Diceros bicornis minor: one gene and its partners. The protein of the gene in region 1 purifies or fractionates together with the protein of each later gene. This does not show direct contact. Links are inferred from orthologs where the notes say so. Each region holds a gene or a part of one and is shown on either strand. Other genes may lie near its edges. The genes, in order: SMURF1, SMAD6 and STK38.

The links.
Region 2: the proteins of SMURF1 (region 1) and SMAD6 purify together in Homo sapiens (affinity purification with western blotting; 4 studies listed by BioGRID). This does not show direct contact. The link is inferred for Diceros bicornis minor from reciprocal best matches to the Homo sapiens genes SMURF1 and SMAD6.
Region 3: the proteins of SMURF1 (region 1) and STK38 purify together in Homo sapiens (affinity purification with western blotting; 3 studies listed by BioGRID, with this or other methods). This does not show direct contact. The link is inferred for Diceros bicornis minor from reciprocal best matches to the Homo sapiens genes SMURF1 and STK38.

The regions. Positions count from the first base shown.
Region 1 is NC_080765.1:7,551,382-7,561,371, forward strand, and holds the start of SMURF1 (E3 ubiquitin-protein ligase SMURF1), read left to right. Parts: upstream 1-5,115; 5' UTR 5,116-5,210; coding exon 5,211-5,295; intron 5,296-9,990. UniProt on the Homo sapiens protein: E3 ubiquitin-protein ligase that acts as a negative regulator of BMP signaling pathway. Mediates ubiquitination and degradation of SMAD1 and SMAD5, 2 receptor-regulated SMADs specific for the BMP pathway.
Region 2 is NC_080744.1:60,816,005-60,825,691, reverse strand, and holds the start of SMAD6 (mothers against decapentaplegic homolog 6), read right to left. Parts: upstream 4,313-9,687; 5' UTR 2,442-4,312; coding exon 1,631-2,441; intron 1-1,630. UniProt on the Homo sapiens protein: Transforming growth factor-beta superfamily receptors signaling occurs through the Smad family of intracellular mediators. SMAD6 is an inhibitory Smad (i-Smad) that negatively regulates signaling downstream of type I transforming growth factor-beta.
Region 3 is NC_080753.1:28,357,917-28,368,156, forward strand, and holds the start of STK38 (serine/threonine-protein kinase 38), read left to right. Parts: upstream 1-6,363; 5' UTR 6,364-6,619; intron 6,620-10,240. UniProt on the Homo sapiens protein: Serine/threonine-protein kinase that acts as a negative regulator of MAP3K1/2 signaling. Converts MAP3K2 from its phosphorylated form to its non-phosphorylated form and inhibits autophosphorylation of MAP3K2.

The DNA of each region.
Region 1 (9,990 bases):
TTACCAACTGTGCTGCTATAACCATTCTACTATATGGCAAACGTTATGTATATGTGCATTTCTGTTGATTACACACCTAAGGGTAGAATTGCTGGATCATGACTGATTTTTTTTTTTTTAATTTAAATGATCTTATGAATCCAGTGTTGGCCACATTTATTTGAAATTTTAATGTTGTGACAAATTATTTCATTCTTAATACTCAGTTGTCTTAATGAAGGAGCATAATTCGTTGAACTATGTGGTTTTAGTTTATGGATGGATCAAGTTCTTATCTCCATCACTAACTTTGCCAGGTCACCTTGAGCAAGTTATTCAATCTCCTTGGCTTCTATTTTTCTCGACTAAATTGAGCATAATGATTTTACCCTGATTTACATGATATGAATAATGATTCGCTAAGTAATTATACAAAATTTTATGATAAAACCATGCAAAATAATACCTTTAAATACTTCAGTGCTATAGAACCTAGCACTATAAAATCACAAATAGGAAAGAAATTATAATGAATTTGTTCTAAAAGATTGTGTATTATGGGTTTTTTCATAACCGTGCATGCGGATATTTGCAATGTGTTACCTTGCTAAACTTTGTCCTCACCTTTGGGTTTTCTGTCGACCTTTCTATGCATCAAATTAATAAGGCCTCATTTGTCAGCCCAGTAACTGAAGGAGAGAAAATGCTGAGAGAACTTTCTCTTGCTATTGTTTATTAATTATTACCTTTTTTCCTTGCTTATTTGTTTTGGGTCTGGTCTGATTATCAGGTTGTAGACTAGTTTGCTTAATTCTTTGTTGCTTTGTTGCCACCAAATCCCTCAATTTCCCCTTTACTCTCAGCAGTTACCACCTTGTTTAGGCTGGCTTCATCAGAAGAACACAGCTTCATTTATATGACCAGGTCTTCAAGAGTCAGGCGGGTGAGGACGTTTGGATTTATGTGGAGTTCTCCTCCCTGTTAACCCTGGATTATCTCCTGTGAATGGAGTTCATTCAAGTTCCTTCTAGGGTGACAATCAAATGTAATTTACTTAATGACAGGCTTTTGGGGTTGAAATTCATTTCTTTCCTGACAAAGTTGAGTTTTATTTTATACTGTATAACCTTAGGAAGATAGTCCAACCTTGAGAAGTCAATTTTTTTTTTTTTTGTGAGGAAGATCAGCCCTGAGCTAAGATCCATGCTAATCCTCCTCTTTTTGCTGAGGAAGACCAGCTCTGAGCTAACATCTCTTGCCAGTCCTCCTCCTTTTTTCCCCGCAGAACCCCAGTAGATAGTTGTATGTCATAGCTGCACATCCTTCTAGTTGCTGTATGTGGGATGCGGCCTCAGCATGGCCGGAGAAGCCGTGCGTTGGTGGGCGCCCGGGATCCGAACCGCAGCCGCCAGTAGCGCAGTGCACGCACTTAACCGCACTTAAGCCATGGGCCGGCCGAGAAGTCAATTTTAAGCAGTTGTTAAAAAAAAAAAAGGATGCTCATAGTTTACTTTCCTTAGAAGTCAAACCCTCAGGCATGGGAAGTACCCTGAGGACAAGCACCATTTTTGTTGTTGTTCTTCATGGAATCCTCCGAGTTTAGAACAGGGCTTTGCCTGTGGTGGGTGATCAGCAGATGTTTGTTAAATGGATGAATGGATTCACCACTCAGAAGCAGCAGCTTTTACTAACTGACCTTGGTTTGTCAAGTTATATGACCTTTTAATTTAAAGCCTCAGTTTTCTCATCAGGAAAATGAATATAATAACAGTATCTGTCTCATGGAGTTGTGGTGTTGAATAAATGCAATCATGATGTCAGATGCAGTATAGTGCCTAATGATCTTGTAAGCATTCAATAAATTTGAGCTGCTGTTATTAGTTATACTCAAGGAAATTAGATTGCATTTTTAAAGTTTCACAAAACAATGGCAAAGTTTCCAAACCTTCCAAACTGTTCACTGTGATTCCATTGATAGGCTTCATCCAATGTTTTTGGCAGATGTATTGGTCCAGCAGATGTATTGGTCGGATGGTTGCCTGGGAGATAGTCTGCTTCCAGGGTGGTTTCGGAAGTTCAAGTTGCACACTGCTCCTTAGTTCCTGGTGTACAATCACCATGTGCTCACTTTTCAGCAAATGAGATAGTAGACATCCAGGCTGAGGTAGAGTTGGAGGTAATAAACATTACCATTGCGTATGGCCTTTGTATGAGGACATTAGAAAGGAAAAATAAACGTGTTTAAGGAGACAACGTTGATAATTAACTGATCTAGGAACTGATTACTTTTGGAATATAACTTAAAAAATTTAGATAAAACTTTCTCTAATGAAAACTTGAATTTTCCTATGTTGTAAGGCAAAGAAATATGTGTCCACCTGTAAAATCACCCTGATTCTTCATGCCTTTGTTTCACTCTAACATGATTGGAAGACATTCCATTTGGTTTATTTAAGACAGAAACTGGAGACTGGAGATCTGGAGATGGAAATTATTCTAAAAGACAGAGACTTTAAATGAGATACTTTGCTTATCTCCCAAGCCAAGGGGTCTGGCCTGTAATACTTGGGAAGTAATCAAACAAAAGCCAACAGTAGCTTTGGAAATTGCTTCCTGGGAGGCCTGTCTTCTTTCTTCACCCAGGAAGAAGTCTTCCTAATGTAGATTCTGTGGGGCAAATCCACGGTGTCAAGAAAAGCAACATTTTAGGATTAAAAGTTAAAAATTAAATATGTCCCTCAGTTATAGACTTTCTTGGAGTGTAATGGCCTGATCAGTCCTTGGAAATCATCCCTTAAGGTGTAAAAATGACTGTGTTCATTAATGAGGGCTTTGTTCAAAAAAAAGTTCCAAATGCCCTCTGGACTTTATTACTTGTTTTTTGGCATGTACTTTTTTTTCTCCTGCATTGTATTACCTCTGTTTCGATGCAGGGGAACCTTTTTTTCCCTAGTGCCACCAAATGTCACTCATGATACCTTAAGAAATAGCATACATTCGTTCTGAAGAAGATCTGTCGGGTGGCGGTGTATGCAAAGCTGCCAGGCGCTGACTCCTGGTGGAGTATGGGGTGGCAGTCAGTCACACCACAGTGGAGGTTCTAGTAAAACTATCTCATTCATTCATTCAAGCACTTATTCATTTATTTCAACAAATATTTCTTGAGCATTGAATTTATGCCAGGCCCTGTGTTCCGTGCTAGGAATGTAATGGTTCAGAAGAATAGTCCCTGCCGTCTTGGTGCTTATGTTCTAGTGAGTAGTTAGACAGGAAAAAAATAAAATTTATTTATTCAGCAAACATTTTAAAGTAACCTCTGTGTGCCAGACACCATACCAAGCTCTGGATACAGTGGTGAATACCAAAGACACAGTCCTGTTCCAGTGGACGTTTTTGTATGGGACAGGCAGACATGAAGCAGCATATCAATAAATAGAGGATTTAATTTCAAACTCTGATAACAGCTGTGATGCTGCTATGATAGTGTAATGTGGGATGGGGGTAGAAGTGGGGATGGCTGCTGAATCTTTCTGGATCTGAATAATTTCACCAATAAAGTGGAAAAAAGTGACACCTGCCCTGTATGTCCACTTGCCTCATCCTGTAAGAATAGGTAGAGAATGATGTATATAAAAGAGCTTCTGAGACTCTAAAGTCACATGAATGGTGTTAGTGTTTGCTGCTGGTGGGGACCGAAGGGGACAGGCAGAGGAGCAAGCATGTCCCCTCATCTCAGAGCTGAGCTCTGCCTCATGGGGGGAGGAGAGTTTCTGCCACAGCAGCCCTGCCTCGCGGGTGCTTCAAGGTTTGGGGCTATGAGCTGAACCCTGTCACACTTCTGAGGTCAAATAATTCACACAGTTCTGTCCTTTATTTTCTAATTTAATACATTGATAGAAGATGAAGCTGTAACACTCATATTTTAAGCAAGGAGGTGTTTGGAAAACCTGTCTCAAGCCTGTCAGTTTACCAGAGTCACCCGCACCTCCAGAGCCAATAGGGACGGCTGGTGATTGCTAAAACGTGTTTTGTTAACTTAGACAATTTTACCTGCAAAGAAGAAATCATTTTATCATCTAATGGTGTCTGAATAGTGGAAATGTGTTAGTGTGTTATGTGTATAAACTTATTGAGAAGGATTGGGAAAAGTTGTTTATTTCATTAAGCAGGTAATGGAACAGAGTTCAATTCTGTATGGATTTGAAGATTTTGGCATTTAAAGTCTGCTGATGTAACTCAAATGTGATTGTTTTTTCCTCTTAATGAAAATTTGAGGATTTCCTAAATTTGTATGAGAAGTGACGGATGAGTGACTCTGGTACAGGGCCTAGAAAATGACATGCTAGTGAAGCACTCTGATCAGGAAACCTTACTCTTTGCCATGAGCAGGGATTCTGTTTTTACTCTTTTTTGTAGCTTAAAGGATTTTTCCCCAAGGAGATAAAAAGAGTGAGTTTTAGACTTAAGTTAGATGAGATAGACAACTAATAATATACTTTAAATGCATATTATGTGCTGGTGGCTATCCTAGGTGGTAAATTATATTTTCTAATAAATGAAAATTTTACGTAGATGTTTTAAGTTAGTGAGATACCTTAATTTTCTATATTTTTATCACTGTTACTCTCTGGCTTGCTTTTTGTTTTCTGTTCATCATAATCCACGTTACGTGCCTGTTGTGTGGCCAGCACCACATGAAGCCCGTGTCTAAAGGGGTGGAAGGTGGGACTTCAGAGGAACTTAGCTGGGGGCAAAGCCACCCGTATGAAAAGTGATTGAGCACTCAGCTCTCTGGCTCTGACAGTAAACAGGAGTAAAGCGGCAACAGATTGCTGCTGGTTAGAGTAGTGATTCCCGGAGCAGTCAAAACATTATGTAAATAAGGCTATCCACATAAAATTGCCAACTTTTTATTTTGCCAAGTCACTGTTGAAACTATTACCATTTTTTGTTACCTCATTTCGTTAAAGATAGGATATTTCAACATGAAAAAAATAGACATAACACTGGGACAAAGGACAGGTGTTTAAAATTAATTAGTTCAGTTTTATGAAAACCCACTATATTGTTCTCACTGTTTTCATTTTGGCACTAGTGAAAATGTTATCACAGAGTGACGTTTGGGAGACGCTGGCCTGAATGGGGCTTCACTGAGAAAGTGGGCCTCGCCTGGCTCGAGAAGATAGAGCACAGGAAGAGAGAGGGCTTGTCCGGTGGATTGAGGAGCAGGAATGACCGCCCAGCGGGAGCACTGGTTGGGGCGGATGGAAGCGGGGAATGAACCCAACTACGCTTTGAAGAATGTGGGAAATAAAGGTGATACTAGAGAATGGGACACTTTAAAACTCAGGGAGAAACAGATTTGCAGTAAATACAAGACAGAGCCATTGGAGTCTTTTGAGCCTCAGAACAGGAAAATGGCATTTCAGAAGACTAATCTGGTGGCTAAGTGTAATGTGAATGGAGAGGCTTGAGTTAGGAAGGGCACGCTGCTCTTAGATTAAGCTGTGAGTAGGTGAAGCCGAGACTAGGAGAGTGAGTACAAAAGCAGGGGAAGGACGAATTCAAGAGACAGTTGGAAGAAAGAGAAGGTAGGATGTGGTGATACATATAAATATAAGAGGAGGGAGGAATAAAAATTACAGCCAAAGTTTCTAGCCTTGGAGAATAGAAAAATAGTGTGAAGTATTGACACAAATTAGAAAATTTCTTGTATGTCAACTATTTCTCATTAAAACCGGGGGAAAAAACCCCAAAAATGGAAAATTTCTTAAGATGATATAATAAAGTACTAAATTTGTGTTGATGTAGCTTATCCTGGGAGTGGGTGAAACCACAAATAGTATTTTGGGGACCCTATGCTTTTGTCAGCGACCTGGTAAAGAAGCTTGTCTTACTAATTGAATTTACCTCAAGTTAGCAAAACACTTCCCTTCCGTGTATTTTCAGATGCTAAGTGAACATCATGTAATTTACTCTTACTTTATCCCCAACATGAGGAAACTATGGTACGTGATTAGGAAATTATAGGATGTAAGAGACATGATTTGTCCAAAGTAGAGAGCACTTGAGAGTTGGAGTTGAAGCAGCCATGCCTGGTCTACACCGAAAAAATAAGCTTCATTTTTTGTAAAAGTAAATGTCTCTTTTGTTCATTGTGGTATCCCCAGAAACTCACTCATAATTGGTGTATCACATACTTGTTTAAAAATAAGTGGTATATCTAGACAGAGTGGGATTTTATGCTGTGTAATAAATTATCTTTTATCATTATATCTCCTAGAGTAGACAAAGAGAATTCTATCTCAAGATCACAAAATTATTCTAGTGGGAGAAATTAATATGCCTTTAACTAAAGTAGATTCAGTATGATCCTAAAGGATCTTTGCACAAAATTGAGGCAAAATTCTCTTTATGCTGACACTATTGAGACCTTCTCCACTTTGTGATGTAACCAAATTCCGCTGGAGTGAGCCTTAAATTAAAACATTGCCAGTCTTGTAAATATGAACAAAGATTAATCTTTCTGAGATGTTACCAGAATTCTTCCAGTCAGAAGCAGTCCAGCACCAGCACCTCAGAAAAACCAGGGCCCAGAGCTGGCGGATAATCTTGGAGGCTGGGGAGGTGAGGTTGGTTGGGGGCAGAGCATGACAGGTCTGGAGTTGTGCAATGGGAAGCGACTGTGGAATTTTTTAAAAGGAAAGAGACATGAGGAGATTTAAATCTTGAACAGATTACTTGGTGATAGCTAGTGTTGGGAGCTTGAACAAGGGTGGAGATGGTTTGAGAGAGATTGAGAAGTATAAGGATGACACACAGATTTCTGGCTTGTGCAGTTGATGGGTGTTGCTGGTGGTCTCTGAAGTAATGAATCTGCGGAGAGGACCAGGGTTTGAGGCGGAGTGGGAAGATTTTAACTTCAGTTTTGGACACTTTGAATTTAATATGAGAGCATTTGAGACATTCAAAGCTGTGAGAAAGAAAAGGCAAGTGAAGGAAAGAGAACATCACAGGCCCATTTGAAGAGAGTTGAAAAAGACGGCTGATTTTAAATTAACTTAAGAAAATTGATGGCTTTCCTATATCCAAATAACATTTAGAAAATGCAGCGAGAGGAACCCTCATGAGATTCATGATAGTGACAAAATCCAGAACACTTAAGAGTAAACCCAGTTAGAAATGTGGAAAACTGTAATGAAATACTTTAAAACCTCACTTAATGTTTAAAGACAGGCATTAAAGAACTTAATAAATGGATGATTAACTACATTCAAGAATGGGAATACTCAATATTGTAAAGAGGTAAATTCCTCTTAAATTTATTTATGAGTTAATTTTTTTAACTGGCTCAAAATGATTCTATAGTTCAATGGGAAAAGTAAGTATGTGAGACTATCCAGGAAAATGCTGAACAAAGAGTAATGATGAATTTCAGGGGCATGCATTTTCTGTTTATACATTTCCAAGTTTTCATTTTTTATAAGTAATGTATTAATTTTGTAATTAGAGGAACAAGAAGTAAAACACCAGCAGGAGCTGTAATAAATTATGATCTATCCACAAAATAGACTGAAGAGTGTGTGTGTATATGTGAATATATATGTACACATATATTGCCATTGGAAAGGAAGGGTGTAAAGATTATGCTGAAGAGGAACTATTACTACCAACTATACTGAAATAAAGAGGATTATCAGGGAATGCTGTAAACAACTGTATGCCAACAAATTGATAACTTAGGTGAAATTGACAAATTTTTATTTTATTTATTTTTTAAAATATTTTATTCTTCTTGTTGCAATTGTAAATGGGATTGTCTTCTTGAGTTCTCTTTCTGTTAGTTCGTCGTTGGTATATAGAAATGCAACTGATTTCTGTAAGTTGATTTTGTACCCTGCCACTTGGCTGTAGTTGTTGATTATTTCTAATATTTTTCCAATGGATTCTTTAGGGTTTTCTATATATAAGATCATGTCGTCTACAAACAGCGAGAGTTTCACTTCTTCGTTGCCTATTTGGATTCCTTTTATTCCTTTTTCTTGCCTAATTGCTCTGGCCAGAACCTCCAGTACTTAGTTGAATAAGAGTGATGAGAGTGGACACCCTAGTCTTGTCCCTGTTTTCATCTTTCTTCACTTTTATTTTTTTTAATTAATTAATTAATTATTTCCCCCAAAGCCCCAGTAGATAGTTGTATGTCATAGCTGCACATCCTTCTAGTTGCTGTATGTGGGACACAGCCTCAGCGTGGCCGGAGAAGCGGCGCGTCAGTGCACACCCGGGATCCGAACCTGGGCCGCCAGCAGCGGAGCACACGCACCTAACCGCTAAGCCACGGGGCTGGCCCAAAATTGACAAATTTTTAGAAAGCCAAACTGCCAAAGCTGGTTCAAGAAGAAATGGAAAATCTGAATAGACCTATAAAAAGTAAAGAGATTGGATTAGTAATTGAAAACACTTCCTGCAAAGAAAAGCCCAGGCCTAGATGGCTTACTGGTGAATTCTGCTAAATGTTAAAGAAGAATGTGTACCAATTCTTCACAAACTCTTCCAAAAAAAAAAAAAAAATAGAACAAGAAGGAACACTTGCCAACTCATTTTATGAGGTCAATATTGCCCTGATACAAAAAAAGACAACACAGAAAAGGAAAACTACAGACCAGTATCCCTTATGAATATAACCGTGACAAAATATTAGCAAACTGAATACAGCAGCACATTAAAAGGATACCTAAGTAGAATTTATCTCAGAATGCAGGGTTGGTTTAACATCTGAAAATCAATTAATGTGCTACATCATATCAATAGATAAAGGACAATCATCTCAATAGGTGCAGAAAAAGCATTTGACAAAAGCTAACACCCCTTCATGATAAAAACACGCGGCAAACCAGGATCAGAAGGAAACTTTCCCAACCTAATAAAGGGCATCTACAAAAAACCCACAGCTAACATCATACTCAATAGTTGAAAGACTGAATGCTTTCCCCCTAAGATCAGAAACAAGACAAGGATGCCCACACCTTCTGTTGTATAGGAGATCTTGGGCAGTTAGGCAAGAAAAAGAAAGAAAAGGCATCCAGATTGGAAAGGAAGAAGTAAAACTCTCTCTATTTGCAGATGATATAATCTTATATATAGAAAATTCAAAAGAATACAAAAAAAGATATTAAAGCTAATAAATGTGGGCTGGCCCTGTGGCTTAGCGGTTAAGCGCGCGCGCTCTGCTGCTGGCGGCCCGGGGTTCGGATCCCGGGCACGCACCGACGCACTGCTTCTCCGGCCATGCTGAGGCCGCGTCCCACATACAGCAACTAGAAGGATGTGCAACTATGATGTACAACTATCTACTGGGGCTTTGGGGAGAAAAAGGGAAAAAAAAAAACGGAGGAGGATTGGCAATAGATGTTAGCTCAGAGCCGGTCTTCCTCAGCAAAAAGAGGAGGATTAGCATGGATGTTAGCTCAGGGCTGATCTTCCTCACAAAAAAAAAAAAAAAAGCTAATAAATGAGTTCAACAAAGTTGCAAGACACAAGTTGAATATACAAAAATCAGTTGTACTTCTGTACACTAGAAATGGACAACCTGAAAATGAAATTGAGAAAACAATTCCATTTGCAATAGCATCAAAAAGAATAAAATAAGTTTAATAAAAGAAGTACAAACCTTATACTCTGAAAATTACAAAACCAAGTTAAAACTAAAGAAGACCTAAATAAATAGGAGGATACCTCATGTCCATGGATTAGAAGATTTAACATTGTTAAGATGACAGTAGTCCCCAAATTCACCTACAGATTTGGTGAAATCCCTATCAAAATCCTAGGTGGCTGTTTTGCAGAAATTGACAGGCTGATCCTAAAATTCATATAACAATTTAATACATCCAGAATAGCTAAAACAATCTTGAAAAAGAACAAAGTGGAGGGCTGATGCTTCCCAATTTCAAAACTTACTGCAAAACTATGGTAATTACTATCGTCTAAATGTTTGTGTCCCCCCCCAAA
Region 2 (9,687 bases), on another chromosome or scaffold:
GGATCCTACCCATATTCCACCTCACTCTGCAGCACCCAGCACGCTGCCTGACAGAGTAAGTGCTCAACAAACATTTGCTGGCAGACTGAACTGGTGAGAGAGAAAATACCTGCCAGGGCCTTTGAAACAGCAGAGTGGGCCCCACCTGTTATCTCTCATTAAACAAAAATTACCAGAGACAGGGCAACCACAATAGGGCCCCCTTCCCCAGAGGCAGGGAGGAGACTGGGTGGCAGAGGGGAAGAAGGCACTTCCAGGGGAAGCTGTCAGGAAGAGGAATAAGGGGCACAAAATGCCCACCGTGGGCCACAGGTCAGGGATTGCCAAACGCCCCTGAAAGGGGTCTGGAGCGACCATGTGGGGAGCAGGGCGGCCAGATCAGTGCTGCGTCTCCCCACGCACCATCAGGAACCACCACTGAGCACTGAGGCATCCTCCTTTCTCCTCCAGCCACTACCCCACACACAAACAAGACACCTGAGACAAACCCACGCTCCTAGGCCCACCCTCCCCTTGCACACCGGGAGTCACAAGACCTGTGATCTGACCCGCTAGGTGCCGCCCCGCTGAGAGCTGACTCTCCAGAGGGGCCAGACAGGAGGAACTCAGGGACCTCCCAGGCCCCACAGCCTGTAACTCTCTGACAGTCCCACCCCTGCATAACCCCCAATGCCACCTAAGATGCATACAACCCCTAAGATGCTACGAACTAAAAAGTGTGCTTCCCTGCAGCGCAGAAGTCAGAGCAGAGGGCACTGCAAGCTTCTGGCCTGCCAGGAGCCCCCGCCTGTCCTCACGTCTGCTCCAGCACCCAGGGCCTGTTTAGGTAAGATCTGGAGGTGGGGTGTGTGCAGGAAATCCCAGCAAGAGAACAAAGAAGGAGGGCAGTTCTCAGAGGTAATAAAATACCTGGCTTCCTCGCCTACTCACAGACGCCTCCAGGACCCTCACCCTATACAAAACCTGGACATAGAATTGAGAATGATGATGATGGAGGGCCCTGGCACTGGACACCCAAGGGATGTTGGGTGCAATCAGAGCAAGAGAGAGGTCTCCACTCTGAGAAGGGATACCCTGCAAAAGCTTTGCTCCGAAATGTATAAAGGAACAAGTGGGACAACGAACACTACTGACTCTAGCCATGAACTGTCTACGTCCAATTTTACGATGTACATCTCCTTGGGTACAAGAAAGTATAACGAAGCTATAGGCATATGCACACGAATGGTATACACATATGCACACGAATGGTATAGGCATATGCACACAAATGATACAGGCCTGGGCACAGACTAGGGGTAAATGCGAGGGGGTGGATGGGGCACTCCTGTCTTTGGCTTCTCCTAGGCCTGCCCTCCCCTTTCACTGTCTATGAGTTTGGAACTTACATTACGTCCCTGAAGCTGCGCAGACAAAACTCCAACGCGTACCTTTTTAAGTTTGCGGGAGCCCTATGATGAAGTTGCCATTTGATGTGTGTGCCCAGATACCCACTCCCTGGCTTTCCTCTCAGGGTGAGGCGCCTTCACTGGGAACTCCCACGCTCCAGGGGCACCCGGGGGAGCACCCGCAGCTCCGCCCGCCCGAGGTGTCACGGACAGAAAGGCAGCCACGCAGGGGGCCCGCTCACCTGGCCCGCAGAGCCGGCTGAAGTGGTAGGGGTTGCAGCACACGGTGGGGCCATCGGCGGCGGCGGCGAAGCTGTGGCAGCCGCACAGGGGCTTCAGCTCCACGGCGTGCTGCAGGTCGGGCCAGCGGAAGAGGCGGCCGAGCAGCAGCTGCGGCGGCGCGGGCTGGCCGCCCAGGCGGAGGTCGGCGCGCGGCACCAGCACGCAGCCGCCCGGCACGCCGCCGCGGGACTCCACCGCCTCCAGCAGCGTGTCCAGCGAGCGCTCCTTGAGCCGCTTCAGCAGCGAGTACGTGACCGTCTTGAGTTCCTGCTCGAGCAGCAGCAGCCGCGAGCGGGCTTCGCGACTCCGCCCGCCGCCCGCCGGCTCCAGGGCAGCCCGAGCCAGGGGGTCGCCGGCGTCCCGGGGCGCGCCAGGGGCGTCCCTTTCGGAGAAGAGGCAGCAAGTCACCGTCTCACAGTCACTTTCGGGCAGCCAGCCCGGGCCTCCCGGCTCCGCCACGTCCAGCGGGGAGCACCCAGCGCCGGCCCCAGGCTCCGACATGGGCCTCGGGGGACCCCCTGCGCGCCGGCGCCTCCCTGCGCCCTGGGCGCCTCGCTGTCCCACCGCGTCCCGGGGCCGCCGCGGGGCTACCGGGCGGACTTCGGAGCGGCCGCAGCCTCCGCCTTCTCGTGCCCGCGGGGCCGGCTCAGCTCGGCTGCCCAAGCTCCCATCCTCGTCGCCGACGCCGCCGCCGCCACCTTCCTCCCGGTCGGGGACCACACGACTTCGCCAAAGTCGCCGCACCAGCCCCGAGCGTTTGGACCTGAACATACGATATCCTTTGGCGCCGGGGGTGGGGGGGAGGCGGTCTCCGGTTACCGAGGGTCCGTTCCCTCAGCGAGGCGCCGGCTACGCGGGCCGCAGCCCCACATGAAGCTCCGTTGCCGGGCGCCGTGCAGACCGCGCACAGCCTGTCGTCGAAGGGGCGCCGCGGGGCTGCAACATGAGGGAGCTCGCCGCGGCGGGCCGGCGGGGAACACGCGCACGCCGAGCCGCAGTCCGCGCCGGGCCAGCGGCTACATGGACCCCGGCGGCCGGGCTGCTCAGCAACTCCAGCACCGGCGCTGTAAGGAGACTGCAAGCGGCGCGCCGCCAGAAAGACCCCGCATGGGCCGGCGAGCCTTCAAAAGTTGCGCGGCTGGTCCATGAGCACAAAGCGCTCGCGCTGAACCCCCTGTGTCTGGGAAGCCCTGCCTTTAAAACCCAGGCGCTTAACTACATGGGCTTTTCCTGCAGGATCCGAGAGGCAGGCTTGTTGATACCCTCAGCTTCCTTCTTACTCCCTGCAAAAAGAAAAATAAAAAAGGAAAGAAAGAAAAAGAAACCCCAAACAAAACCAAAATCCCTGGAATTGCATGCATGAAAAGCCAACTCCGTCTCAGGTCCCAGGCGCTAGATGCTCTTGGAGCGAGTTTCTCCTGAACGCGAGTGTCAACACATGAGTGGAAACTGTAAAAATCCCAAAGAGCTGCTAGGAATCCTTAATTAAAAATGCAATCCAACGAAGCAGAGGTCGCAGCCCGCCCCACGCTGCGCTCGGACGCCCCGGGCGCCGCGGCTGCAGAGGTCGTCCCCCTCCCCCCTCCACAAAAAGTGCCTCCCGGTGGCCCCGCGGTCCCGGCGAGGTCTGGCGAAGCAGCGCCCGGCGGCTCTTTCTCTCGGCTTGGCTCCCTCGCTCGCTCCCCTGCTCGGCTCTCTCTCTCTTTTTTGTTCTCCTCAAACGCACACTGAGGGCCCCCGGAGGAGCGCCGCGGAGTCATTGGCTGCCTCCCATCATATGCCAGTCTAGACACTTTGGCGGCTCCGCGGCGCTGATTGTTGCGCAAACAAGGTTTCAAGTTTCTTAACTCTTAAAGGAGAACACGCCCCATTGCAGGGCCCGAGGCTCCGAGGGGCCGGCTCCTGGGGCGGGCGGAGCCCGGGCCCCCGCCCCACGCTCGCCCCGGCACCCCCGCCCCGGGCCTGACAGCGCCCACAGCCTGCTCTCTGGCGCGCGTTGCGCCGCGGGCAGGGATACGAGCTAGCACACGCACACGCGCGCACACACAAACAGTTACACAAACCCTGGGCAGGCGGCGCAAGGGCTCGGTGGACCCACTGAGACTCGGACGCGAACGGGGCGCTTTGCCTCTCTGGCTTGTGCACAAACTTGCAAACACACGTTGCACTTTAGAGTTGGTCCAAACCTCCGTCCCAGGGAAGGCTAATAAAAATCGGTGTGCGTGTTGTGCCTTCCTGGCGTGCGTCTCTTGGAAGCAGGGAGCAACTGATTTGTTGGGGTAGCAGGATCTTCCGTGATGACACGAGGTCTCCACACCCCCTGCGCATAGTCAGGGGTCGCTCTGCTGCCCAGACGGGGGGGCCTGGGACGCTTCGCGCACAGGGGCTCCAGGCTGGCCCGAGGTAGGGACCTGCAGAGGGTGGGGTAGAGGCGGGGAGTGTCTCCTTCTCTCGGGGTCCTCACGGTCGCCACGGGCCTCCCTCGGAGCTAGGCGGTCCTCTAGCCGTCCCAGGCCCCCTCGAGGCCGGGTGCTCCCTCCTCCCCCTTCCCCATTTTATTCTGTGCATCGTGGAGAGAGATGTGGGGAGCGGTAGTGCTTCCCCCAGCGACGTTTCACCACGGAAATGGGGGTGGATTGGGAGGCGGGGCCCTGGCCCGCCGGGTCCGGGGCTGGCTCGGGGACCCGGCGGCGGCAGCTGGCCGCCCGGCGCGGAAAGGGTTAAGGCCGCTCCTGCCCCTGGAGCCGGCGCGGCGGGGTACCTCCTCGGGCGCGCTCGCTCGTCCGAGGGTGGCAAAAGTTCAAGCTTGTAAAGTCGGGATTGGTCCCGCGCGGAGGGAAAAAAGGCCTGGTCCCCCCTCCCCCCCAGGGCGCGGCGCCGATTGGCCGGGCCGCGGGGCGGGCCCCGCCCCCTCCCCGCGCGCGGCGGCCCCGCCCCCGGCGCGGCGCCCCGCCCCTTTCCGGGCAGGAGCCCGGCCCCGCACTGAATGAAAGAAATTCCTCTGCTTTCATTGGCCCCGGGCTGGGCGCCATTCCCCTGCGGGGGCCGCGGGGGCGCCAGCGCGCGGGTCTCCCTCGGGGGTGCCCACGTGTGGGGCTGGCCTGGTGAGCGTGCGGCGGTGCGAGTTCCCCGCCGGGCTGGAGGCTGGGTGTGCGCTGGGTGAAGGGCGGTCTGTGCAGGGAGAACTCAGAACCATTTGTTGAGGTTTACCTGGAGTCAGGTACTGTTCGCGCCGCGCTCTCTGTGAGACGTGGTTGCTCTCCCGAATGGAGAACCGGCCGGAGAAGCTTCCTCACCCGCATCCCCTACTGCTTGGGCCAAATCAAAATAGTTGTCTCAGCCTCAGTTTCTTGTTTGAAAAATGGGGATCATGACGCCTGCCCTGCGTTCTTCACAGAACCATGAAGAGCCTAGGAGAGAGTGCATTTTAGGCAGGAATCGCAAGTGAACAGCAGGGTGCATTTTCACAAGTGAATACAACACCTGTGTAACTAGCACCCAGAAGACCCTCTTGTGGCCCCTTTCAGTGACTTCTCGCCCCCGGGAAAATTAATGCATCTTAAAATACAAGGAGGAACTCAGTGTAAAGTACAATATTTTTTTTTATTGGGGTATTTGCTGGTTTGGCTGTGGATTACAATAATAATAGCTCGTGCTTATTGAGTCGTTACTGTGGGCAAGCATTACAAGGATTCAGTCATTGAATTCTCACAACAACCCTGATAGGGACTATTATCATCTCCATTTTACAGATGAGGAAACTGAGGCACAGGAACTTGCCCATTTAATTTGCCATTGAAATGAAAATAGCGTTGAGAGTGCTAAAATGCTGAAACCAGAGGGGCATAAACCAGTATGTGTGCTCATCCCCGACAGCTAGAAAGTGGTGTGTGGGTCTGTGTTTCACAGCACACTCTCAGGGCAGTGATTTTCAAAATGTGGTGCATTGGACCCGCTGAATCAAAGTGTTATGGGGCGAGGCCCAGACTGCACATAACACTTTGGGGATGGGCATGGTTGTTACTACCATTTTGCAGAAAAAGACACTGAGGCACAAAGACATTAAGTAACTTGAACAAGCTTTTAGTTAGTGGCAGAGGCGGGGTTTGAACCCAGGCAGTTTGGCTGGGGGCAGGGGTATGTGTGTGTAATGGGAGCAAAGGGAATGGGGCAGCAGGCAGGACATGGGTTACCCCTCAGGGCTTGCACAAATGCCCAGCACCTACCCCTGGCGCAAATATGTGAACACTGGCTCCTTCCCCTTCCATCCCCCAGACCTCCCTGAGGTACAGTGGCATCCCTTTCTGGGGGAGCGCCCTGAGGGATGTCGGGCCCTCAGGCCAAGGAGGGACTGAAGCAGTGACATTCCTGGGAGGGCTGCCTTCTTCCCCGGGCAGTAACTGGGACAAAGGTTTGCTGCGGCCCTTATTCACCCGGAGGTGTGGCATTAGAGGTGGGGTGCCATTAGGTGCCCGCTGGATGACGTCTGAAGAGCACCAAAATGAGAGTCTGGTAGGCCTGAGTTTGGTTCTGACGCTCCTTTACCTCCCTCAGCTCACTAAGCCTTGGGGTTCTCATCTGTGAAGTGGGAGTAGGAATCATGCTCGTGGTGATTACCAAAATGAAATGTCATGAGGGCCCAGTCATCTCCCATTACAGGAAGACTGCCTCCAAGTGGAGACAGGGTCTGGAAGGGAAAGGCAGTCACAGTCCCTCTGTCCTTAGAGCTTCCAGGTGGAGACAGGATCTGGAAGGGAAAGGCAGTGACAGTCCCTCTGTCCTTAGACTCCGAGGCCCATCCAGCCTCGCGCTGGCCTGCGTTGTGACCACTAGAGGGTGTGTGCGGCAGGGCCCAGCGGGGCAGGGCCACAGAGCTACAGCCTAAGGGCACCCTCCTAGATCCCCTCTGGAGAACAAGCCCCAGTTCCCTGGGGGGCATAGGAGAGGAGGGAGCTGGAGTCCCAGCTGCTGCTCCTCAGGTCTCTGCAGCCACATTACTCACAAACTCTAACCCATCAGATTCAAACCTGCCCCCGACCCGTTATCTAGTATTCCCCCAAAGTACCCTGTGCCTTCTCTTTACAGCACTTCTCACAACTCATAACCATACAGTTCCTCGTCCATCCTCCTCTGCCTCTGGAGTGTAAGCCCCACTTGGGTAGAGATGGTGAAACTGTCAGGCACAGGCCACCCACAGCAGCACTGAGAGAGTCGGAAACAGGCCATTTGATGCCACTCTGTGCCATTGAAGAAGCTAATTCATACAAGGCAGCACCTGCCCTGTTTCTTCTCCCCAGTCCCTAGCACAACGCCTGTCACATAGTAAGCACTCAATGAATATTTGTGATGTGGTTGAATTAAATCCCTCACTTCGCCAAGCTCTATACTCATCATCATCCCATACTGAAACTTATATGCACTATCTCGTCAAATCCCCCAACAACACAGTGAAGAAGTTTTTATTCTTAATAGACCTGTTTTTAGAGAAGGAAACAGAGAGGCTAAGTAATTTGTCTCTGGTCACACAGCCAATAGGTGGCAGAGTTGGGACTTGAACGCAGGGCTGCTTGAGGTGAGTGTTCATCTTCTTAACACCTGGTCCTAGAAAAGAAAACAGGGTCCTTTGCCCTTAGGAAGTTTCCACATTAGCTGGGAAGACACAAGGCATGAAACGACAGAAATCGTACAAGGCAGAGCTTGCTTCTTGGTGGTGGGAAGGGGTGGGCTGTAGGGACCACTGCTTATGAACAGAGGCATCACAGAAGGAGTCTGGGCCACCACTTGCTATAGTCAGATGGATTGGCAGGGAGACCGATTCATCCTCATCCACTTCACAGGAGACTGATGGATAAACCAAGGCCCCACTTCTTAACTCAGGGAGAACAACTACAGGCCTGACTGGCTGAGTAGTATTGTCTGCCCCTTTGGAAAGTAGATCTACTTGGCCAACATGGCCCCAAATGGGGGAGTTGGGCACCCTTGAGTAACAGACAACCCTTCCGAGGCTTTGATGAATGCTGTGGACCCTCTCTCCCTTGAAAAAATGCACACGTGCAGGAATGGAACTTCCTGGTCATTCATTCAACACGTACTTGTTGAGCTCCTATTGGGTGCCAGGCTGTGTTCCAGGTGCTGGGGATCCTGTACTTAAGCAAAACACAAAAAGTCCTGAGCTCAAGGAGTCTCGTGGGAGGACAGACAGACCATAAACAAAATAATCAGATATACAGCGTATTATAATGTAAAGGTGCCAAGGACACAAATAAAGCAGAGAAGAGGAGAAACGAATGTCAGGAGAGGTAGGTGTGGTTCAGAGAAAGCGGTCAGAGAACGCTTCCCTTGGGAGGTGACATTGGAGCAAAGTCTTGGTGGTGGGGCGGGAAGCGCTGTGACACTATCTTGGGGAAGAATGTTCCAGGCACCAAGGGTCCTGAGCTGGGAGCATGTCTCGCATGTTCCAGGACCATCAAAGAGGTGATGCGGTGGGAGAAATACTTGGGGGGGCAGATTGTAGGGTCATGCAGGGTCGTGCAGGGTCTGTGGCTTGTCCTTGGAGGGATCTGGGAGCCCCTGGAGGTTCTGAGCGGGTTTGGGCCATGATCTGCCTCTGTTTGCACAGGCTCCCTCTAACAGCCATGTGAACAGACTGCAAGGGGCAGGGTGGAAGCGGGGCACAGGGGGAGCCTGCTGCGGTGGTCCAGGACGGGCCATGCTGTCTTGGGGAGAAGTGGTCGGATCCTGGACGCATTTGAAGACAGAACCAGCATGAACTGCTGGTACAGATTTGAGAGGATGAGAGAACATCTGAACAGTGTACACATGTTATTGACACATTTACTTAATTTTTTAAATCAATTCACCACTTGTGTTTCGCCTTGTCATAGCAGTAATATCCATGGAGTCACAAATGTGCAAGTTACATTTATCACTTGAAAATAAATACATAAAATATGTTTGTGCGTCACCCGAGATTATCCTGGAGACCACCCGGACACACCACAGTGTTTTACTCTTGCCTCTCCAGGTGGCCTGTGCTGGCACAGGACAGTCACGGTTCTGAACCGTTACTATGGTAGAACCAACAGACCTGAGTTCAAATCCTGTTCAGCCACCTCTTACTCTGTGGCCTTGGGCAATTTCCTTTACCTCCTACAATAACCCCCAGTAAGGTGCTATTATTATTCCCAGCTTGCAGATTACAGATGGAGAGCCTGAGACCTCGCTGGTAATAATCATATTGGGAGGTTGTTTTGAAGATTAAAGTGCTTAGCACAGAGTCTGACACCTCACAAGCATTCAGTAAATGGTAGCTGTTATCAGCGAAATGAGTGTGGAGTCAGTCGTTACCAGGTTAAGCCGCTAAACTCACAACAACCTTGCAAACTGTTTAACCCCTGGGAGACTCAATTTCCTCATCTATAAAATGGACCTACCTGACCCAGGGGGCAGTTAAATGAGTCAAGTCCCAGCAAGCTCTAGGCTTCAGCGGCTCGTCGAGGAAGTGACCTGGAGAAGGAAGGTGGGCTGTGTGAGGGAACCGAGAGAAACTCCCCTCCCGGAGCAGGGATGGGGGTCCCTTCACGAGTGCAGAGCAGAACGGGGCAGAGACGGGGGCCTGGGGAGATTCCAGTACCAGGAAAGGAGGGTGACGTGCCCAAGATCACAGGGCCGATTGGGGTAGCGGGGAGTTGAGCGGAGGTTTTCCAACTCCCAGGGCGCCTTGCCCCTTATTCCATTGCTTAAGGCTTCTCGCCCCAACTGGGCGGTGGACGTAGGCTCTGGGGTCAGACTGCCTGGGTCCTAATCTGGGATCTGCCCCTGACAGAGTGGCCTTGGTCACTTGACCCATCCTCTCTGAGGTTCAGTTTCCCGGTCTGTAAAATGGGTTTAGTAATAATAGTACCTACCTCAGAGGGCCATTGTGAGTATTGATTGAGATCATACATGCAAAGCGTTGAGAGCTGTTCCTGTTATTCTGCTCCTTGTGGATGCGGCAGGAGAGGGCAACACCCCGCAC
Region 3 (10,240 bases), on another chromosome or scaffold:
TCATAATTTTACTTAACCTGGCTTTTTCCAAACTTATGGATATGGAATAATTTGGTGTGTCCTATTACCTCTATTTAGAACAAATGGGATTCCCACGCCTCCATTTTTAGGGAGCTTATGAGATCAGCTACCAGTCGGCAGTTGGGACAGTTCTTGGGCCTCTGCAAATATGGGAAGATTTAGCACATTCCTAAGGGAGTCTGAGAGTCTTGTGATTCACGCAGCTCTCCACCCCACCAGTTGAAACAAAACCTTTCAACAGTGGGAGCCTCAGAAACTCCCTTGTTTTACAGGAAGTTTCCCATCTAAGCACGGTGAGGTCAGTGGATATCTTATCCCTTTCACTTCTGGCTTTCAGATTTATTTTTGCTTTGGAGAACTTGTTTTTGTCACTCTTTTTGCTCAGAAATTATAGTTCTGTTTCTCTCCTTGCTCCATAAGGTTTGTAGAATCTCTTCCCTCCCAAACAGGTAAATGGGAAAAGTTTATGCATTGTTTGGGTCCTGGACCTGCCACGCTCACATCCTTCATTAGTTTTTGAGAATTTTCACCCTCAACTCCTAAAGAAACTCTGACTCATCATGACACACACACACATACACATACAGTCATTTGGAAACAATTAATTTAAAATCTGTATTTCTTAAGACTTCTCAATTATTTTGGCCCCATCATTAAGCATTCAGTTTAAAGAAAATAAAAATCTCTAAGAAAGCAAAATCATATGATCAAAGCTATCATTGTATTATGTGTTGGCATGTCTGTAAGTCTGAAACCAAGAAATAATATGAAACGCTACTTTTGCATTTAGTGCTTACTTTACTTCGAGGTTTTCAGGTTTGTAGCCTAAGCACTAGGGTAAAAATGACCAGTCAGACAGCTGTTGCAGGCCTGGTTAATTACACGAATGCTTCCTCGAAGGACTGGAGCTGCAAATAAATTCTCTTTCTCCTGGCCAGGCTTGGTTATTTGCAGTTACCACAGAACATATGCTGTCTGAGCTCAGCACTGTACCTCCTGCTCTCCTAGGACAGTGGGAAAGAAACGGAGATGAGAAGGCAGCTGGATGGGGTAGAGGAGGTGCCCACTGACTCTCCCATTCACTTTATCTACCCTAGCACAGTTCCATGATGGGTTGTCTTAATTCACTTGGGAAGTATTTACCGAAAACTATGGTTGATATTTACAGATTACGCGGGAGGGGGACACTAAAGAGAAAAAAAAACATGGTGGGAGAAAGATTACTTGGGAGGATGGAGGGTGTAATGTTTAATTTTATGTGTCAACTTAGCTAGGCTATGGTGCCCAGTGTGGTCAAACACTATTCTAGATGTTGTTGTGAAGGTATATATTAGATAAGGTTAACATTTATAGGGGCCAGCCCAGTGGCATAGTGGTTAAGTTCGTGTGCTCCACTTAGGCGGCCCAGGGTCCGGTGTGGGGCAGACCTACACACCGCTCATCAAGCCACGCTGTGGCAGCATCCCACATACAAAATAGAGGAAGACTGCCACAGATGCTAGCTCAGGGCCAATCTTGCTCACCAAAAAACCCCAAAAAAACAAAAAAAACAAAATGCAAGAAAAACCCATTTATAGTCACTTGACTTTAGGTTAAGCAAATGACCCTCCATGATGTGGGTGGGCCTCATCCAGTCGGTTGAAGGCCTTAAGAGCAAAGTCTGAAGTGTCCCAAGGAAGAAGGAATTCTACCTCAAGATGACAACATAGAAACCCTGAGTTTCCAGCCTGCTAGCCTGCCCTACAGATTTGGGACTTGCTAGTTCCCACAAGCATGAGAGCCAGTTCCTTAAAACAAATCCATCTCTTTTTCTCTCTCTCCTATTGCTACTGTTTCTCTGGAGAACCCTCACTAATACCGAGGGCTCCAGGAAGGAAGATCCTAGAGAAAACAACGGAGCTGACAGACTGTGAGTTTGACCATAATCTTAGAAAAGTTTTCCAGTTTTGGCAGAGAGCTTGCAGACAAATTAGTGATAGATATTTTAAAGGGAAGGGAAACACTGAGGCAATTGTTAACTCCAGGGAAAACAAAAAATGGTACAAGGAGATAGGGTAATTATTCTGCCCTGCTTGGCTCAGTTGTAAACACCGAATACTGATTTAAGAAGAATGGTAGTGGTAGAAGAAGTTATGGGGAAGTTGTGGTGTGAGTTAAAATCTCATCTTCATTGAGAAAATTAAAAAATATCTAAAACTTAAGACATAGCAACAATACTTAGAACAAGGAGGTAAATAGCAGAAGAAACAACTAAAAGCGCTGAAAGCAGCTGTTTCTGCTGAGTTAGTCCGGTGGGAGTGGGTGGGGCAGGGAATTGCTGTTTATCGTTATAAGTCTCATAGATCATCTGGTCTCTTTCAAGTCCATACGTGTATTACTTTGATAAAAATAAAAACTAAATTAAAAGTTATGTGGGTCCAATGTGGAAAATTTGGAAAGTACAGAAAAGTATAAGGAAGAAAATAATAACTATTCATAATTCTTCCACTCCGAGAAAGCAAGTATGCACATTTTAGAGGAACAGAATTATTAAATAAATTTGTTGAGATTAAATTGTCAGAGCTTGAGGATTTAAAAATATCACAACTTAGATATAAATGAACAAATACTAACAGTGTAATTAACTATATGGGTAATAGTGTAGGTATAATTATATACAGTATAATCATATACAGTATGATCCCATATGTGTTTATATGTGTGTTAGAAAGTAGTCTGGAGGGATACTCACCAAAATGTCAGTTGGTAGTGACCAGGGCTGGGACTAGGGTGGGCAGTAAGGTGCCTGGACACACAATGTGAGGAGGTGCTTACCCTCAGGGTCATGCAAGTGCAGGGGCTGCACCTGAGCTTGAGAGCCTCCTTCAATGCTGTGCCCTAGGTGCCTCACGTGCCTCACCCGAGTCTGGCCCTGGTAGGGACCTTGGGCTGCTGGATCATGGGCACTTTCCCCTTCTTATTCTTCCCTTAGATATATGTTCAAGTTGCTTGCTACTCCAAGTCTGGTACGTGCACCAGCGGCATTAGCATCACCTGGGAGCTTGTTGGACATGCAGAATCTCAGCTCTGCTCAGACCTTCTCAGTCAGAATCTGTAGTTTAACTGAATCCCAGGGGATTTGTGTGCACGCTAAAATTTGAGAAGCACTGGGCTAGCAGGCACCAAGCACAGTTCCTATCCTCTTCTGGGAGGAATATTCAGAGGCAACTGATGTCATCGCGTCCAATGGGTGGGGCACACACTGCTGGGGGTAAGATGCCTGTCCTTTAGAGGACTGTGGTCTTTGCTGAGAGGCTGATCTTCAGCTGGTGAAGCACCTGCAGGTCAGCCTGATGGAGAAGCAGCAGGTGGTTCCCTTGGGACAAAGAACAATTTGGGGGCCAGCGCCAGTGGCCTAGGGGTTAAGTTGGGCAGGCTTTGCTTCGGCAGCCTGGATTTAAAGAGAAGGGAAAGGCTAGTGGGTCCGAAACTGGGGAAAAGAGCAGACAAAAAAGTGCTAATATTCAAATCAAGTAACTCAAGTCCCAGGGGGATAAAGAATAACTTGGTATACTGTAAGGTTGTTTTTTCCAAGAGTTTTTAGAGAAATCTGTTATAAAACTGAGAAGCTTGGATTAGGTGAATTATATTGTGACTATAATTACATGAGGGCAGAAATAATATACAATAGAAAATATAAAGGGATTGACTCTGTTCAGTGTTCCCATTAATCAGAAGTCAATTAATAAGGGTTCTGCTATATGTCAGTTCTCCATTTAGATTAGTAAATCAGATTAAAAGAGAACAGCAAAGTAATATATACTACTATGGCAGACATTATTAACTGGATTAACACAATATTCATTCCCAACCCCTTTCTTCTTTGCCTGCTTTCATTACAGAGCATAAAAAAGCTGAGTACTTGCTTTCCCAAGAAGGGTAGCCATGTGATACAATTCTGGCCAATGAGCCCTCTGTGTAGGTCTCTAGAAACTGTATGAAGCAGCCACCACTCTTTGGAACAGATTCAGAGGGATCTTTTCAGGGCCTGGAGTAGGGTGAGGTGAGCAAGACACTCGCCTTGGTACAAGATTTATGAGGGTGTAAAAAAACTCAGTAATCAAGATAATATTTAAAAAAATAAAAATTAATGCAAAAAAATCCATGATGAACAAAATGGCAACATTTAAAATAAAGGCAGCATCTGACAACACCAGTATTAGAGTGAGGCAAATGAGGCTGAGTGCTGCAAGTACAGGGTCAGATCACCCTAGTTTCCAACTCACAGTCTGGGGTGGGTACAAGTGGCACTTAGGTTTTGTGCCCACACCCTAGGTGCAAGGGAGTCTAGGAGAGAGGATATCTGGAATCAGCAGTTTTGATAGTGAGAAGTGGGAAATGCATGAAAGGGATTCAGGAGCTAGGTGGTCAAAAAGAATGACAAATACCCACTACACTTTTTGGAGTCATGGTAAAATGTCATCACCTGGATCCATGTAGGGAGAGCAGCATATTCTGGCTGGGTTATTTTGAGGACAACTTTAGTATTTATTAGAGTTAGGGTACAGATAAATTAATATAGGACTATGGATAGCAGAGAATGAAATCCCTCTTCTGAAACTGGGAAGGCTCCAAGGAAAACATAAGGTTTGATTTGGGCTTTAGAGGAAGGAAAGGGGAAAAGCAGAAAGAACACTGAATTCGCAGTCAGAAAGTGGGGTTCCCTACTTCCCTACTTGGCTTAATAGCTGTGAGAATTCAGGCAAGTCACGTTGCTTCTCTCAGTGTTAGTTACTTTATGTGTAAAATCTCATCCTATGCAACCTGCCAAAGAGTTGTGAGGATCAACTGAGATTAAATGAGTGAATGCAGTTTATAAACGGAAAAGCACTATGCAAACATCTAGCACTGTTATTAAGTCATTAAGGATGGGAAGGAGTTGGACACAAAAGACATTGGGGGAGAACGGCCTCTAGGCAGAGAGAATGAAAGGTGAAGTGGTTTTCGCATGAGGCTAGACAAAAGGAAACTGGGCTTTGAAGTCTAAAAAGATGAAAGCAGTCAAGGAAGACCTATACTTTTAAGATATTAAGGAAACAAAGCCTGGGACCCCAAGCTTGAAGGATCAAACTAAGCCCTATGGTCTTACAAACAGTTACACAAGAGAGTGAGGCACGGTAATATCACAAAACACCCTAATGAATGACTTGCACACATGCTTCTTTCGCACCCTGGATGGCCTCTTTGAAGTCAGGCAGGGACCATGCCTTACTCAGCTTTGTTTCCAGGAGCCTGACAATTTCTGGTCAAGAGCACTCTGCTCCATTCTCAAGAAATGAGTGAGTGTCCAAAGGCTTGGGACCTCTTTACCCCAAGAGGTGGTACAGGCTAAGCGGTTGGGTAGCCTTGAAAAGCAGGTTCCTCTGGGCACACTGGGACCCCCTCCTGGTAGCCCACGTCCAAACCTATGAGAGCTCGCCCGATCCCAGGGTAGAGCGTGTTAATCCTGACTCAAGGAATAGTACGTGGGGCCAAGGGCTCCTGCAGACCTGTTACTACGACGGTCGAAAATCAGGGGAAGGTGGGCGATGAGGACTATATAGGTGATAAAATTTCATAGAACTACAGATGAGCGCGAGCACGCACCGACACGCACAAATGCATGCATGCCAAACTGGTTGACCTGAGTAAGGTTTGTAATTCAGGTAATTGTATTGGATGAGTTAGTTGTCTTGTGCCGGGGTCAATTTCCTGGTTTTGATGATGTAGTATAGTTATGTAAGATGTTGAGGGAAGCTGGGTGGGTGACGGGTATATGGGACCTCTTTATGCTAATTTTACAACTTTTTTTTTTTTTTTTCTTTTGTGAGGAGATCAGCCCTGAGCTAACATCCGCCAATCCTCCTCTTTTTTTGCTGAGGAAGACGGCCCTGGGCTAACATCGGTGCCCATCTTCCTCCACTTTATATGGGACGCCGCCACAGCATGGCTTGCCAAGCAGTGCGTCGGTGCGCGCCCGGGATCCGAACCAGCGAACCCCGGGCCGCCGCAGCGGAGCGCACGCACCCAACCGCTTGCGCCACCGGGCCGGCCCTAATTTTACAACTTTTTGTGAATCTATAACTATTTCGAAATAAAAAGTGAACAACAACAACAAAACCGTAAGGGAAACTCCGCTGACCCCTCCCTACTCGGAGCCCGCCGAACACCTCACACTTCTGCCCTCGGCGACGCCTCTCCTGTTGGGGTAGGGCGGGGAGGGGTGTGGTGGGGCGGGGCTGCGCACGCGCAGTCCTGAAACCTCTGCCGCGTCGCCGGGAAGCCACGCTTGCGCAGTCGCGGCCCCCGGCCGCCGCGCCAGCCTCTCTCCGTGGCGGGGGACTCGGCTGCCTTGGCCCCTGCGCGCTGCCGTCTTTTCCGGCAGTTGGGGCGCTTCCTGTTGTCCTTGCCCGCAACGGCTCCTTGGCCCCTACCTCAAAGACCTTCACGGGTCCCCGCGCATTTTCTGGAGAACTGACTGCTGCCGCCGGAGCTTCGCCTGTCCCCGCTTCGCGACCGCTGGCCGGGCCGGCGTCTGAGGCTGTCCGCGGCCCCCAGCCCTGCCTCCCCCGGGGCTCTGGTGAGTGGCTTGCTGCCGCTGTTTTCTGTCCATCCCCGGTTTTTTCCTTCATCTCCTCTTCCCCCGACTCTTTTTGGGGCTCTACCCTCCCGCCGGCGCCCTCTTTCCTCTTTCCCCACCCTCTCGGTCCTTCGGCCGCTCTCTTGCTCTCCTGACAGTCCCCCTCGTCCCGGTTTCCAGAGGCTTCTTGTCGGGTCTCTGCCCGTTTCCCCCGTCCCAGGCTCCCCACCCTGGCCTTTCCCTTTCTTCGTGTGCAGCTGGGGCGGGGAGCCAGGCTCTTTTCTCCTGTACATGTTGTCAGCTTTGTCTGCTCGCTGCCACCGCTCGGTCCCCTCCGGGATCTCGGTCACTACCAATTTCCATCTCCTGTTCTTTTTTCTGGGGTCTGAGAACCTGAGAGCTGTTGTGTGAGGCAGAGATGTCGAAAACGAGGTGTGGTGCTTTTGAGTCTGCCCTCTTCCCCATGGTTAGTCTTAGGATACGGGGTTTCAGATCATCTTAAAAATCACAGGAGAATTTGGTGAGGACTCGTCTTTTAAGAAGAGAGTGGGAAAGGAAAGTCGGTAAGGACTTAGAGGAAAGTCCGTGTCGGAAAGTGTACAGAACGGCTAGTAGAACAGATTTACCAGTTGCACTTTGAATTGACTGCAAGACACGAAGAGAAGCTTTTGAAATGTACAGAGGAAGGTTGGAGTAAAGTAGACTCTGTGCTTTCTCTCGCTTTCAGCTCACCTTGGTTCTGAATTAGAATTAACCAGGCAGTAGATGTGGTTTCCCTAAACATAAAACCACCGCCACCACAGTAACAAGGCTCCACTCTCCACTCCAGACATTAGGTATCAGCTTCCTCATTAGAGGATGGGAACTTTGTCCTCCAACTCTGTATAGAAAACCGTTCCATGTCCCAGCCCTATCTCCATCACACATACATGTTCTTAACTCCTAGTCATGGACATAAAAAACGAGTGTTTTCCTAGTAAATCTTTTATAAGGTGCTTACTAAGTACATAGCATTGTGTGTAAGATGGGGGAAGGATATTAAAAAGAAGTTTAAGACAGGGTGCTTGCTTTCCAGTGGCTTACGGTTCAGTAGGAAAAGTTAAATATGTGACTCTTAAGGAATAGTCTTAGCTCCAGTGTTGAATTGGATTCATCATTGTCCAAATGAAAGGTATTGGATTGTCGGTCACAAAGAAGTAAAGATTTGGTGAGAGAAGGGGGTGTTTATGGAGATAACAGAGTACCATTGTAAATCCGGTCAACCAGGCATAACTATCTGTATTGAATAAAACTGGTTTTCATTTGATCTCCTTTTATGTTTGCAGTGCATACCCCGACTTATAAGGATCATATTCTTTTTGTTACATTTTTAAACTTTTAAGAATTTCTCACCTACCTGTTATTCCCTAATTCTGCAGAGTTGGAGAATGAAACAAATAGATGAAGGGCCTCCAATGGCCTGTAGGTCAGGGCATGAAGGCTTGAATTAGCAAAAGCAGGAGGGAAAGCCTTGTTTTATTAAAAGTACTTGGTTGAGGGCCAGCCCCGTGGCTTAGTGGTTAAGTGCGCGCGCTCCGCTACTGGCGGCCCAGTTCGGATCCCAGGCGTGCACCCATGCACCGCTTCTCCAGCCATGCTGAGGCCACGTCCCACATACAGCAACTAGAAGGGATGTGCAACTATGACATACAACTATCTACTGGGGCTTTGGGGGAAAAAAAGGAGGAGGATTGGCAATAGATGTTAGCTCAGAGCCGGTCTTCCTCAGCAAAAAGAGGAGGATTAGCATGGATGTTAGCTCAGGGCTGATCTTCCTCACACACACACAAAAAAGTACTTGGTTAACCCAGTAAGCCTATAAATTGCTATAGGGCAACAGTAGTTGTATCTTTTGATGAAAGGTTATTAGAATTAGGCTAACCCTTTTATGAGTGGAGGAGGAGGAGATTTTGAAGAAAAGTTAAAGGGAAGGACAGTGCAACCTTTGCCATTACGTTAGAAACTACGTGAAGATTGAAAACCATTCTGCTGGAAAATTTGTTGGCCTACTATATGAGCATCTTTGGGTGCACTTAATCTCCTGTTGATCTTTTTAAAAGTTTAGGAAGTCATGCCAGTGACTTAAATGGGTCAAAACTTTTACCCCCAAGTTTTTATATACCCATCAATATAAATATAGTTTTGTTCTTTAGCTTTGTTGACGACTGAAAAATCATTAACTTGCTCAACTTACATTTATTAACCACCTATTATATGGAAGGCCCTGTTTGTCTTAGGCTTAAACACTCTCTAGTTGTTGTATTTTTGTGTTGAAATAATTTCAGTTGTTAAAATGTAACTGCATATATATATATAAAGGGTCTCCAGAAATTTTCAGACAAGGGAGGAGTACAAAGCGCTCACTTGCTTCAGACTTGTTTTTAAATCTGGTTTTAAAATTTCTTCACCAAACTTAGAGTGCATGTGGTTTTCATTGTGGGTGGAGTGGGTACAGGCTGACAAATAAGGAACCACACCCAAACTTTATAAACCAAACAGAGGTTTTTAAAAAAATTCTTCTACTGATATCCTGAAAACATTTGAGTTTGCTTTGTATTAGAAACTTCCCCATAATAAATAACATTTCATAGTTATGTAGAGCTGGATACAATGTCTCGAATTTGTGATTACTGATCATTTTGGCACATCATGAAACAAAATGTTTGACTCTGAAGTAAAGCCTTGATTTTGAATCTCTGCTCTGAAGGGATTATTCTTTATGTGATTTTTCCCTTGAGTATCTTTTTATAAAATCGCTTAATGTTAAGTCTTTTTTCTTAATAATAAGTTTGCACATTCCTTAAAAGCTTTAGTTTAATCTACAAAACAATTTAGAAAACTGCTAAGTATTAAGGAGAGAATCTTAAGAAAACTTTTCATAAAATGCACTATCTTTGAAAATGGCCCTTTGCCCCTTCTAATTTTTACTCAGCTTTATATTCAGATGAAAAGAAAGACATAAAGACAGGTCATGTGGGAGGAAGGCGTGATAAGGGTAAAATATTGAGCATTATTGCTAATGCTGGAGCAGGTCAAGGTTGGTGAACAATCTGGCCAAGTGTGACAGTATAGGTTGATAAAAATACCTGGGGGAAAATGCGATTTAAATTTAGGGGGGAAAAAAATTCTATGAGCTATCTAAACCTTGTTGGTATTGGTTTTATCATATGTAAAACTGGGAGGTTAGGGTCCCTTGTTTTTAAGGTATCTTCCATCACTAAAATTATGATTCAGGTTTTTTCTTTGTAATATTGTTTCTGTCATAGGTCTTTGTTTTAACTTGTAAATTCAAATAGCAAACATTTATCAAATACCATAAGCTGTGTCAGAGTACATAGATACCTATAGATGAGTATTTTATTTTTTTACTTTTATTTATTTTTTAAATTTAATTAAATTTTCTTTTTTTTTTTTTTTTGTGAGGAAGAGTCGCCCTGAGCTAACATCTGTTGCCAGTCTTCCTCTTCTTTTTACTTGAGGAAGATTAGCCCTGAGCTGTCATCTGTGCCAGTCCTCCTCTATTTTATATGTGGGATGAGGCCTCAGCATGGCTGACGAGTGGTGTAGGTCCACAATGGGGGT